Linked DNA regions of Saccharomyces cerevisiae S288C. The gene in region 2 interacts genetically with the main gene of each other region. Each region holds a gene or a part of one and is shown on either strand. Other genes may lie near its edges.

Region 1 (3,321 bases), on a different chromosome or scaffold from region 2:
AATGAAAAATAGTTGAATATTAGAAAAAAGGATGAGGTCTCTGGGATGGAAGAAGAAAGTAATTCTTATGAGAAAATTTGCGGGAGTTCTTTGCCAGTGAGATAAAGTTTTTTTTAATTTTAATCAACACAAAATACACATATTTATATAAACTGACGAAATAATGTCAGCAAACAGTGGTGTAAAACGAGCCAGTAAGGCTTTTAAAACATGTTTATTTTGTAAACGGTCACATGTTGTATGTGATAAGCAACGTCCATGTTCTAGGTGCGTCAAGAGGGATATTGCCCATTTATGCAGGGAAGATGATATTGCGGTTCCAAATGAGATGCCATCACAGCACGAAAGTTCTCCGAATGATAATAATATACAGGGCAAATATGCAAATAAAGCACACACTGGAATTCCGTCTGACTATCAGAATGAACCAGTCAATAAAAGTGGATCCACATATGGAGAGGAACTGTCACCGAAACTAGACTCCTCTCTTGTAAATGATACAACCAGCTTGCTGCTTCCGCAACAACCTGTATTTGTGTCCGAGAATGTTGGTTCGGAATTCAGTTCTTTGAATGAATTTCTTTCTATGCTAGAAAATCCTCTATTGACTCAAACATCACTAAGTTCCAGCAGTGCGAGCAATGTTCATTTGGAAAATGGCTCACAAACCACACAATCGCCATTAGAGTACCAAAACGACAATCGTAGGGATGAAATAGGAGTGGCAAGACAAGAAAATAGGTCGCCTACTATTATGTCAGGTTCTTCCAATAGTATCTCGAAAGGGGATAAACAAGATCAAGAAAAGGAAGAGTCTCGAATTCTAGCGAATGCAAACGAAAACAGTGCACCGACACCGAAGGAACAATTCTTTTTAACAGCGGCGGATCCGTCAACAGAGATGACACCAGAACACCGGCTGAAGTTGGTCATAAATGCGAAGCTTGAAGCAGGATTATTGAAGCCGTATAATTATGCCAAGGGGTATGCAAGACTACAAGACTACATGGACAAATATATGAATCAGTCTTCCAAGCAAAGGATTCTGAAACCACTATCCACCATTAGACCGGCGTTTAGAACCATTGCGCGTTCATTGAAGGATGTTGACTTAGTTTTAGTGGAGGAGAGCTTCGAGAGGATGTTATTATCTTATGATCGTGTTTTCACCTCTATGAGCATGCCAGCGTGCTTGTGTAGGCGTACCGGTGAGATTTACAGAGCCAATAAAGAGTTTGCTTCACTGGTTGACTGCACAGTCGATGATTTACGCGATGGAAAGCTTGCGATCTACGAGTTGATGACAGAAGAAAGCGCTGTGAATTTCTGGGAAAAATACGGGTCCATAGCGTTTGATAAGGGTCAGAAGGCTGTTTTAACAAGTTGTAGTCTTCGAACCAAAGATGGAATCCGCAAACGGCCATGCTGTTTTAGTTTCACTATCAGAAGGGATAGGTACAACATCCCAATTTGCATCGTCGGGAATTTCATCCCTTTGTCATAAGCATAAGTAATACATAGTAGGTAATTGGTATTTCCAGCGTCATTAAAAAGCAAAGTAACGGGTTTACTTTTTCCTCAAGCCGCTGGCCCGAGCAGTTACTTGAAATAGCCGTATTACTACGAGCAATACGAAGACCTTTTTCTACCAGCATTTGTTTTTTTTCAAATCATTCCCATTATTACCCCAGGATCTTTTCATAATGCGGCGACCAGAGATAGGGAAAAAAACTGCGAACTGGCTGAATCTGATTTGGCGAAGGGCAGATTCTCGGGTATTTCTGTGAGGGTGACCGCCGTTGATATATATCAGTGACTTTTGGGAACCTTTATCTCATTTATTCTCAAGATAGAACTGTAACGAGGGTGAAAGAAAAAGAACTGTAAGATGACATCTATAGATAATAGACCTTTGCCGTTCATATACCAGTTCACAGCCGGTGCCATTGCCGGCGTCTCGGAGCTATTGGTGATGTATCCATTGGACGTGGTGAAGACAAGAATGCAATTACAAGTGACAACCAAAGGTCATCCCGCTGTTGTTGCAGCGAAAGCAGCAGTAGATCACTACACGGGCGTGATGGATTGTCTTACAAAAATTGTGAAGAAGGAAGGATTTTCGCATCTTTACAAGGGTATCACATCGCCTATATTAATGGAGGCTCCGAAAAGAGCAATTAAGTTCTCCGGAAACGATACATTCCAAACGTTTTATAAAAAGATTTTCCCCACGCCCAATGGGGAGATGACTCAAAAAATCGCCATATACAGTGGTGCGTCCGCTGGCGCCGTGGAAGCCTTTGTCGTCGCGCCTTTTGAACTAGTGAAGATTAGATTACAGGATGTGAATTCACAGTTCAAGACACCCATTGAAGTTGTAAAGAATAGTGTTGTGAAAGGTGGTGTTTTGTCACTTTTCAATGGGTTGGAAGCCACTATCTGGAGACACGTTCTTTGGAATGCCGGTTATTTCGGTATAATATTCCAAATTCGGAAGCTTTTGCCGGCGGCTAAAACAAGCACGGAAAAGACCAGAAATGATTTGATCGCAGGTGCTATTGGTGGCACTGTCGGGTGCTTGTTGAATACACCATTTGACGTGGTAAAATCTAGGATCCAAAGAAGTTCCGGGCCGCTGAGGAAGTACAACTGGTCCCTGCCTTCAGTGCTGTTAGTTTACCGTGAGGAAGGGTTTAAAGCATTGTATAAGGGATTTGCGCCAAAGGTCATGAGACTTGCCCCCGGTGGTGGGTTATTGTTGGTAGTTTTCACGAACGTCATGGATTTTTTCAGAGAAGTCAAGTATGGTAAAAAACAATGATCCTGACGCTTTTTATTTCATTTTGTTGTAGCCCGCCCATACATGTATACGTATATATATATATATATTTATTGGAAGTAAAAGTAAAAAACTCGCTTACCTAGCACATGTTTAAACAAGCGTTGAAATGAAGGAAATAATGAAAGTCTAGTTTTGTCTAGCGATAAATAGTGTTAATTAAAACAGCCTTTTACAACTAAAGAATATTTATATAATAATGATGCCATATACCACACATGGGAAAACAAATATATAAGGGGGAAGTGGGAGGATGAAAAAAGAGTAATGAAAATACTAGTAGTACCAGGTGAGGTAAAACAAGCACGTCCGTCCCGCTTTCACCCTGGAGAAATATATCTAGGAAGATATGCATGAGAAGAGGGAGAGAAAGGAAATGCTAGATTAAGGGAAAGAAATATGACAATATTAATGAGAAACATCCATGCTTGCACAAATTAAGTCCAACTTGTTGATTAGTGAGGGTTTGATCTTGTTCTTGT
Region 2 (7,032 bases):
CAAAATTGACCTAACTTAGAGGAGTCCTTACATTCCGCATAAACCCTCACCGCATCCTCCGTACCACTGGCTCTGACAAAGCTTCTTCCCATGGGATACTTGGCTACCACAAGATCTATCTTGTCTTGCAACCCCACTGGATTGAGCAATTTTCTTTCCTGGTCCGTGGTTTGGAAAATTGACCTATCAGGAACGATGCACTTAACCAGCTTGTTGGGCAAATCAGTATACTCTTCATCCCAATCCATTGGCGACATTTTCAAAATCGCCAAAGTAGCAAGGACAGCAAGCATGTCTGAAATAGCATCTCCCACGGTCTGATTAATCAATTCAGAGAAACACTTCAAAGTTCTCAAAGCTAACGTATCACCATTTAACTTGGACTTGGATAATTCAGATTTGATAGTTCGATGAAATTTTTCGCTGAATATAATCGTACCATGTCCATTTGCTTCGAAATAAATGCCAATATCGTACTGAGTGGCAGCTTCATGATGCAAGTGTTTAACACCTGTCTTAGTGCAAGACACGGGACAGTGCAACGTATTTTTTATGTAAGCGGTGGAACTGCCGTTTGCATAGGCAGTTTGCACAACACCAATCTTCAAAGAATGTTCTAGGTGTGCCAATTCTAGTTGTTTAGACAAGAACTTTGCAAACAAAGTGGAAATTTTGTCACCATCCAACAAATGAAATTTTGATCCTGAGTCGACATAGTAGAACACAACCCTGTCTGCGTCACCATCAAAGGAGCAATATAGCGAATCAAACGAGGATGGAGAAAGACCCTTGGGTAATCTCTGGTTAGTCTTCACATAATCCGCACCGCATTCAAAATTCAACAGTTCTGGAACATCGGACCTGTCGTTGATTACCTCAACTTGCTCCGCTGGCACGTCCCAATCTTCGGAGGCCAGTAGTTTTTTCAACTGTGGACCACCGATACCATTGGCTGTGTCTATGAACAATTTTGGGACAGACAGCCTCTTCTCCAGCTGATACGTGGCGAAGAGCTCGTTGAAGGCTCCTATAAAGAACGAATAGTAGTCCTGTTCTGTGGCAACTGGCGCTGTGTCTCCTTCCAGTTTCCGCCTGTTGGACAAATCAGTAATGTAATGCAATTGAGGCGTAGTGACACAGCCTAGGTCCAAAACTTGCGCGTGGAAGACGCTGGCCATGGAGGAAGTCAAGCAGCGCAGCAAGTATGGACTACTTTCCCTAGAGTCTCTCCCAACCACGATGTGAGGCACGACGGTTGTATTCAAATCAATCTTTTCGTGTTCAATCAGCTTGGCCAACTCAACACGAAATTCTTCAAAATTAGTGGCAAAAGAGGCCGCATTGGCCAACTGCATGGCATATGGCTCCCATGTGGCCAAAAGCATCGATCCGTCTGGTTCCACGATCTTGACCCCGTTGTCCTGGTATGGGTTGTGCGACGCCGTGATCATCACCCCCACATACTGACCCTGAAGCTTCAGCGACCTGAGAACCGCCAGTATACCAGTACTGAACATCACCGTATCCAAATTCTTGGCCAGCGTTCTGAATCCGGCCGTACCGTAACTGAACTGCACATTCTTTGTGCGGCACGTGTCATCGTAGAGTTTGCACAATTGCTCGTAATCAACCTTCATCGTCTCTAAGCTTACTGCTGACCTTTGCCTTGGTCCTTGTACTTGTCTCGATTGCTGAAACCATTAACGGTTTTTTGTTCTTACTTAATCTTTTTTTTCCCGACGACGCAAAATGTCAGAAAAGATATAAATAGAGCAACGTTTCCTGCTACATGAAACACGCTGGCATATAGAAGAACTTCAACGAGCGAGGCTCTCTGAACAATCTGCTAATCGTGCAAGTAAGGGTTCTCGTGACAGTTCACCGTGTATAAACAGATAAACAGATAAACAGTCAGATATGCTTAATTTTTAACTGTAGGCTGTGCCGACATGCCATTTTATGCGGCTCACTTCTAACAAAAGTGACCATGACGCACAAGCAAGCAAACAGCCAAGTAAGGAAGCAGACAGCTTCACAGCACACACACACCGTTGTGTACGAAAATCCTCTGCAGAAGAGTGTATATGCCACTCATCCACACTTCCGCAGCGCAGTACGTAATGCGGTATCGTGAAAGCGAAAAAAAAACTAACAGTAGATAAGACAGATAGACAGATAGAGATGGACGAGAAACAGGGGGGGAGAAAAGGGGAAAAGAGAAGGAAAGAAAGACTCATCTATCGCAGATAAGACAATCAACCCTCATGGCGCCTCCAACCACCATCCGCACTAGGGACCAAGCGCTCGCACCGTTAGCAACGCTTGACTCACAAACCAACTGCCGGCTGAAAGAGCTTGTGCAATGGGAGTGCCAATTCAAAGGAGCCGAATACGTCTGCTCGCCTTTTAAGAGGCTTTTTGAACACTGCATTGCACCCGACAAATCAGCCACTAACTACGAGGTCACGGACACATATACCAATAGTTAAAAATTACATATACTCTATATAGCACAGTAGTGTGATAAATAAAAAATTTTGCCAAGACTTTTTTAAACTGCACCCGACAGATCAGGTCTGTGCCTACTATGCACTTATGCCCGGGGTCCCGGGAGGAGAAAAAACGAGGGCTGGGAAATGTCCGTGGACTTTAAACGCTCCGGGTTAGCAGAGTAGCAGGGCTTTCGGCTTTGGAAATTTAGGTGACTTGTTGAAAAAGCAAAATTTGGGCTCAGTAATGCCACTGCAGTGGCTTATCACGCCAGGACTGCGGGAGTGGCGGGGGCAAACACACCCGCGATAAAGAGCGCGATGAATATAAAAGGGGGCCAATGTTACGTCCCGTTATATTGGAGTTCTTCCCATACAAACTTAAGAGTCCAATTAGCTTCATCGCCAATAAAAAAACAAACTAAACCTAATTCTAACAAGCAAAGATGAAGTTAGAAAATACTCTATTTACACTCGGTGCCCTAGGGAGCATCTCTGCTGCTTTGGTCATCCCAAATCTTGAAAATGCCGCCGACCACCACGAACTGATTAACAAGGAAGATCACCACGAGAGACCCAGAAAAGTGGAATTCACTAAGGACGATGATGAGGAGCCATCTGACTCTGAAGATAAAGAACATGGAAAGTTCCATAAGAAGGGCCGCAAGGGCCAAGACAAGGAGTCTCCGGAATTCAACGGTAAACGTGCAAGTGGCTCTCATGGGAGCGCCCACGAGGGAGGAAAGGGCATGAAGCCTAAGCATGAAAGTTCCAATGATGATGATAATGATGATAAGAAGAAGAAGCCTCACCATAAGGGTGGCTGCCACGAAAATAAGGTGGAGGAGAAGAAGATGAAAGGTAAGAAAGTCAAGGGCAAGAAGCACCACGAAAAGACGTTGGAGAAAGGGAGGCACCACAACAGGCTGGCTCCTCTCGTGTCCACTGCACAATTCAACCCAGACGCGATCTCCAAGATCATCCCCAACCGCTACATTATAGTCTTCAAGAGAGGTGCCCCTCAAGAAGAGATCGATTTCCACAAGGAAAACGTCCAGCAGGCACAACTTCAATCCGTAGAGAACTTATCTGCCGAAGACGCTTTCTTCATTTCTACTAAAGACACCTCCTTGTCCACCTCTGAGGCTGGCGGTATCCAGGACTCATTCAACATCGATAATCTTTTCTCCGGTTACATCGGTTACTTCACCCAAGAGATTGTCGACTTGATACGTCAAAACCCATTAGTAGACTTTGTTGAGAGAGACTCTATTGTCGAGGCTACAGAATTTGACACTCAAAATAGCGCCCCATGGGGGTTGGCCCGTATTTCCCACAGAGAGCGCCTCAACCTGGGGTCCTTCAACAAGTATCTCTACGATGATGATGCCGGTCGCGGTGTCACGTCCTATGTTATTGACACGGGTGTCAACATCAACCACAAGGACTTCGAAAAGAGAGCCATTTGGGGGAAAACCATCCCACTTAACGACGAAGATCTCGACGGTAACGGCCACGGTACCCACTGTGCCGGTACTATCGCTTCCAAACACTACGGTGTCGCTAAAAATGCCAACGTTGTTGCGGTGAAAGTCTTGAGATCAAACGGGTCTGGTACCATGTCTGATGTCGTCAAAGGTGTCGAATATGCCGCAAAGGCGCACCAAAAAGAAGCCCAAGAAAAGAAAAAGGGGTTCAAAGGTTCCACAGCCAATATGTCGCTTGGTGGTGGCAAGTCCCCAGCTTTGGACTTGGCTGTTAATGCAGCCGTTGAAGTCGGTATTCACTTTGCCGTGGCTGCTGGTAACGAAAACCAAGACGCTTGTAATACCTCCCCAGCTTCTGCTGACAAGGCCATCACCGTCGGAGCTTCCACGTTGAGCGATGACAGAGCCTACTTTTCCAACTGGGGTAAGTGTGTCGACGTTTTCGCCCCAGGTTTAAACATTTTGTCCACCTACATTGGAAGTGATGACGCCACCGCCACTTTATCGGGTACCTCAATGGCTTCCCCTCACGTTGCTGGTTTGTTGACCTACTTTTTGTCTTTGCAACCAGGTTCTGATAGTGAATTTTTCGAATTGGGCCAGGATTCTTTGACTCCTCAGCAATTGAAAAAGAAGCTAATTCATTACAGTACAAAGGACATTTTGTTCGATATCCCTGAAGACACTCCAAATGTTTTAATCTACAACGGTGGTGGTCAAGATTTGTCCGCTTTCTGGAATGATACCAAAAAGTCCCATTCATCTGGTTTCAAGCAAGAATTGAACATGGATGAATTCATTGGATCAAAGACCGATTTAATCTTTGATCAAGTGAGAGATATTCTTGATAAATTGAATATTATTTAATTCTTCATTTAGAAAAATTTCAGCTGCTTTTTTTTTTCTTTTTCTTTCCTTAGGCGTCTCGAGGTTACAAGTCGGAGTCCCTCTTCACTATCGTTTGTCCACTTTTTTTATATCCCCATTATTTTCAATCTGAATTTCATTTTTTTTTTTTAATTCATGAAATTTATATGTCCCACGTATTACTACATATTTGCGTTTTTAATTAAATAAATAACTGTTACTTTTATTATATCTTATTTGCAGATCACTTATCTGATCAAATGTTTTCGTTTTCGTGTGTGGTGACGATGTATTAGGTACGCGAAATAAACAAAACAAACAAACAAGGCCGCAACAATAACATCATCTAAAGACTTCCTTTGTGACCCGCTTCTCAACAGCGGGTGTAGAACTTATGGTATGGCCAGAAAGTAACGTTGAGTATAGATACAGAAGCAAGCAATTCAAAGGAAAAAGTAATAAAAAGTATATAAAAGCGCAAAAAATACAACAAGAAAGAATTTGTTTGATGCCAGCGGAAAACCAAAATACGGGTCAAGATAGAAGCTCCAACAGCATCAGTAAAAATGGCAACTCTCAGGTTGGATGTCACACTGTTCCTAATGAGGAACTGAACATCACTGTAGCTGTGCGATGCAGAGGAAGGAATGAAAGGGAAATTAGTATGAAAAGCTCCGTTGTGGTAAATGTTCCAGATATTACAGGTTCTAAAGAAATTTCCATTAACACGACGGGAGATACCGGTATAACTGCTCAAATGAATGCCAAGAGATACACAGTGGACAAAGTCTTCGGTCCCGGCGCTTCCCAGGATCTAATTTTTGATGAAGTGGCGGGCCCATTATTCCAGGATTTCATTAAAGGTTACAATTGCACCGTACTGGTATATGGTATGACGTCAACAGGTAAAACATATACAATGACGGGCGACGAAAAGTTATATAATGGTGAATTGAGCGATGCAGCAGGAATTATACCGAGGGTTCTTTTGAAGTTGTTTGACACATTGGAACTACAACAGAACGATTACGTAGTAAAATGTTCGTTCATTGAACTCTACAACGAAGAATTGAAGGACCTCTTGGACAGCAATAGCAACGGCTCTAGTAATACTGGCTTTGACGGCCAATTTATGAAAAAATTGAGGATTTTTGATTCAAGCACAGCAAATAATACCACTAGCAACAGTGCTAGTAGTTCCAGGAGTAATTCTAGGAACAGTTCTCCGAGGTCATTAAATGATCTAACACCTAAAGCTGCTCTATTAAGAAAAAGGTTAAGGACAAAATCACTGCCGAATACCATCAAGCAACAGTATCAACAACAACAGGCAGTGAATTCCAGGAACAACTCTTCCTCTAACTCTGGCTCTACCACTAATAATGCTTCTAGTAACACCAACACAAATAACGGTCAAAGAAGTTCGATGGCTCCAAATGACCAAACTAATGGTATATACATCCAGAATTTGCAAGAATTTCACATAACAAATGCTATGGAGGGGCTAAACCTATTACAAAAAGGCTTAAAGCATAGGCAAGTAGCGTCCACTAAAATGAACGATTTTTCCAGTAGATCTCATACCATTTTTACAATCACTTTGTATAAGAAGCATCAGGATGAACTATTTAGAATTTCCAAAATGAATCTTGTGGATTTAGCTGGTTCAGAAAACATCAACAGATCCGGAGCATTAAATCAACGTGCCAAAGAAGCTGGTTCAATCAACCAAAGTCTATTGACGCTGGGCAGGGTCATAAACGCACTCGTAGATAAAAGCGGCCATATACCTTTCCGTGAATCGAAATTGACCCGCCTGCTTCAAGATTCCCTGGGTGGTAATACGAAAACCGCACTAATTGCTACTATATCGCCTGCAAAGGTAACTTCTGAAGAAACCTGCAGTACATTAGAGTATGCTTCGAAGGCTAAAAACATTAAGAACAAGCCGCAACTGGGTTCATTTATAATGAAGGATATTTTGGTTAAAAATATAACTATGGAATTAGCAAAGATTAAATCCGATTTACTCTCTACAAAGTCCAAAGAAGGAATATATATGAGCCAAGATCACTACAAAAATTTGAACAGTGATTTAGAAAGTTATAAAAATGAAGTTCAAGAATGTAAAAGAGAAATTGAAAGTTTGACATCGAAAAATGCATTGCTAGTAAAAGATAAATTGAAGT
Region 3 (2,989 bases), on a different chromosome or scaffold from region 2:
ATATGCGCAATTCTCAATATAAACCAAAGTTAGACCCTACTTCTTATGAAGCTTACCAGCATCAAACCCAGCAGAAATACCTGCAAGAACAACAAAAGAGACAGCAGCAACAAAAACTTCAGGAGCAACAACTTCAAGAGCAACAATTGCAACAGCAGCAACAGCAACAGCAACAGCTACGTGCAACAGGCCAACCTCCATCTCAGCCTCAAGCGCAAACTCAATCTCAGCAGTTTGGCGCTCGTTATCAACCACAACAACAACCTTCTGCTGCTTTAAGAACTCCTGAACAGCACCCAAATGACGATAATTCAAGTCTAGCTGCTTCTCATAAGGGCTTTTTCCAAAAATTAGGTTGTTGCTAAATATAGAAATGACATTTTTTGCAAGACTACCGTCTTTCTTACATTTTTTGTAATGTGAATATATCTGTATACTTTACAACCGAAACGACATTTACCATACTTATAATTTTCGAGTTCTTCGCTGTGGACAAGAGATTAAGTGAGATCAATAACTTCGATAAGAGTATCTCCCGGGAGTACCTCGTCATCATCATCAAGGATTACAACTTCTAAGGAGCTGCTAATATTATCACTTATTATTTGATCTTTGTTATTCTTCGTCTCTCCGCACCAGCGATCATCTCTATATCTCCTTTCGGCTGCAAAAGCCGCCAACTCTCTCGGGGAATTACCTCTATCTATAGATGATATACCCTCTGGATGCAAACTCCCTAACTTCACACCTTTGCCCCTTTTTCTCACTATCCCTGTGTTAGTACTTATTCCTGTCATAGGATATCTATTTGAACGTAAGTTTGCTCTTCCACCGAGACGTTGACCGTTCCCCAAAAATGTGTCGTACAAACCTCTTTGTTCAATAACCCATTGCCTTCCAATCAACTCATCTAGCTTATTGTAGAACTTTTTGTCGTGTGGACCGAATAAATTGTGAGTTAATTCGTGCAGCATGGTGCCCATTATACACTCCATGGGTAAAAATTGGAACTCATCCGTGGAGCATCTTAACCGTAACATTATCTTAGATCCATGGTTGACGTTCATTCCCAGGAGTCTTTGATCACGTGGGTAAAACTCCACCAAGTTGGTCACTTTGAAGTGATTTTCCTTCATTAGATAGGAAACTTTATGTGCGATTTCCTTTATTAAATTTAGCGCATCTTCCTTATTGGGCTTACTTTGCAAAACAGCCACTTTTTGAATGTGCGGGTTCTTGTGAGGGATTCTCTGGGAGCCCGCCATATCATGGTATTTTGCCGATGGGCTTTTTATTCCTTCTGTCTTCATTAATCAATCTCTCTTATTTAGAATATCTTCAAAATATGCGTTGTTACAAAATACAGCGCAAAAGAAAAAGTGTCAAAATTTCTTCACCAAACTCACCTTTTGGTATTCAGAGCAAGTGAGAAAAAAAAAATTTAAACAGAGGAGGTTACTAATGGGCAAGAAGAAGAGTAAGAACCAATTAAACACTGGAGGTGTTCCTAATGGTGTCCATAATACCAAGAAAGAGGCAGCTTTGCCACCTTTGGGAAATAAGCTGGGAAGCGCAAGTTTTACAGCTATAAATACGCTGACTAAGCCCGCTTTGTTTTCATTTTATGATGACGATATTACCAAGAATGAAGGTAATGTTTATGACAAGGCTTTATTGTCTAACGCCTCTCAATTGGAAATGGTTCCGCCATCCGCGACTGCGAGACACGAAAGGTCATTGTATGCGAAAATAATCAATACTATTGCTGCATTTTTTATTCTATTCATAGCAGGAATACTCTTCCCCATGATATCAGAATGTTTGTTTGATAATGACCAATTGGCAAAGGGAGATATCGTATCCTTTTTAAAGCATGGTATAGAAATTAAGAACAAGATCGTCGCGGAACCTGACATGGTGCCTGATTGGGCTGTATTTGGTACTGAAGGTGTTATCTTTGGTTCCATAGTACCATTCATTGACTCTTTCGTTCGTTATCAACACCAGCCAAAAACCAGGTCATCAGTTTACAAAAACACCCTAGGATCATTTATAAGATGTGCCAATACTCTTTTGGGCTTAATATTTGGTATTAGGAAACTTGAATGGTCCTCCTCTTTGCAGGCAGCTGGTGCATGGAGCTTATTAAACATTGTTCTGTGGTTGTTCTTTGATGGCACTTTAACCGTTTTTTTCCCAGGTCTAGTAATTGGTGCCCTTAGTGCGTTCACTTGCTCACAATGTTTCTCGCAGTTGTCACTGGCGTTGTATTTTATAGATTTCTATTTTTTTGGGTTTTTGATGTTCAGCAAGTTGGGCAGATATTTATTCAATTAAGTGTTCCCATAGGGGCGTTCAATGATTAGTATCGATGTGTAAATCTTAGCTGATTTTTAGGCCTCAACAACCTTCATTTACTAAGCATGTGAGTAAATCAAAAGGATGACGTCAACAAAAAACACATCAGTAACACAAGGTATACCATACATACATATATATATATATATATATATATTATTTGGTAATTGAATATTGAAAATGCAAGGGCTTAGCCGAAGCTAGTGATGATAAAAAAAAAGTAATACCACATAATATCATTCCTTCATTAGTCATTTATTTGGAGATCTTGGTGGAGGTCCACTTGAGATACTTCCTTGTCTCGAGATAGAATCGCCACCACTACTACTACTCATACGTCTTCTAATAATAGACTCTCTTAAACCGCTAGGATTGGTCACTGGTAGATTATTACTAGAATTATTCACGATAACGTCATCCGACTTAATGACTCCGGCCTTTTTCAATGCATAATCTCCGCTGTCAAAATATTGACGATCCTGCATCTTATGTCTTAACAGATCTTTTTTGGATGGAAGCTTCCCATACATTTTATACAATTTTAGTTCTTGTGGTGACAGCTTCGATAAATCCACTCCCTCTTTGGTAAACCCATGAGGATTGCTCAAATCCACCCTGCTGCTTGTAGGTG

The links. A genetic interaction does not mean that the proteins touch.
Region 1: mutations in PRB1 (region 2) and ODC1 together harm fitness more than expected from each alone (negative genetic interaction), as found in Saccharomyces cerevisiae (2 studies listed by BioGRID).
Region 3: mutations in PRB1 (region 2) and WSS1 together harm fitness more than expected from each alone (negative genetic interaction), as found in Saccharomyces cerevisiae (2 studies listed by BioGRID).

The regions. Positions count from the first base shown.
Region 1 is NC_001148.4:298,071-301,391, reverse strand, and holds ODC1 (mitochondrial 2-oxodicarboxylate carrier), read left to right. Parts: upstream 1-1,888; coding exon 1,889-2,821; downstream 2,822-3,321. Other genes in the region: gluconeogenesis transcription factor RDS2, read left to right, coding at 164-1,504. UniProt on the Saccharomyces cerevisiae protein: Transports C5-C7 oxodicarboxylates across the inner membranes of mitochondria. Can transport 2-oxoadipate, 2-oxoglutarate, adipate, glutarate, 2-oxopimelate, oxaloacetate, citrate and malate.
Region 2 is NC_001137.3:37,857-44,888, reverse strand, and holds PRB1 (proteinase B), read left to right. Parts: upstream 1-2,935; coding exon 2,936-4,843; downstream 4,844-7,032. Other genes in the region: phosphoacetylglucosamine mutase PCM1, read right to left, coding at 1-1,637; HHY1 (Hhy1p), read right to left, coding at 1,929-2,237; SOM1 (Som1p), read left to right, coding at 2,265-2,489; kinesin motor protein CIN8, read left to right, coding at 5,352-7,032. UniProt on the Saccharomyces cerevisiae protein: Vacuolar proteinase B involved in protein degradation in the vacuole. Among other substrates, acts on carboxypeptidase Y (cpY/PRC1) to activate it by processing its Pro-peptide.
Region 3 is NC_001140.6:370,070-373,058, reverse strand, and holds WSS1 (metalloendopeptidase WSS1), read right to left. Parts: upstream 1,311-2,989; coding exon 501-1,310; downstream 1-500. Other genes in the region: serine/threonine protein kinase YCK1, read left to right, coding at 1-365; NSG1 (Nsg1p), read left to right, coding at 1,462-2,337; IGO2 (phosphatase regulator), read right to left, coding at 2,610-2,989. UniProt on the Saccharomyces cerevisiae protein: Metalloendopeptidase that acts selectively on DNA-binding proteins. DNA is needed to bring the protease and substrates together to enable proteolysis.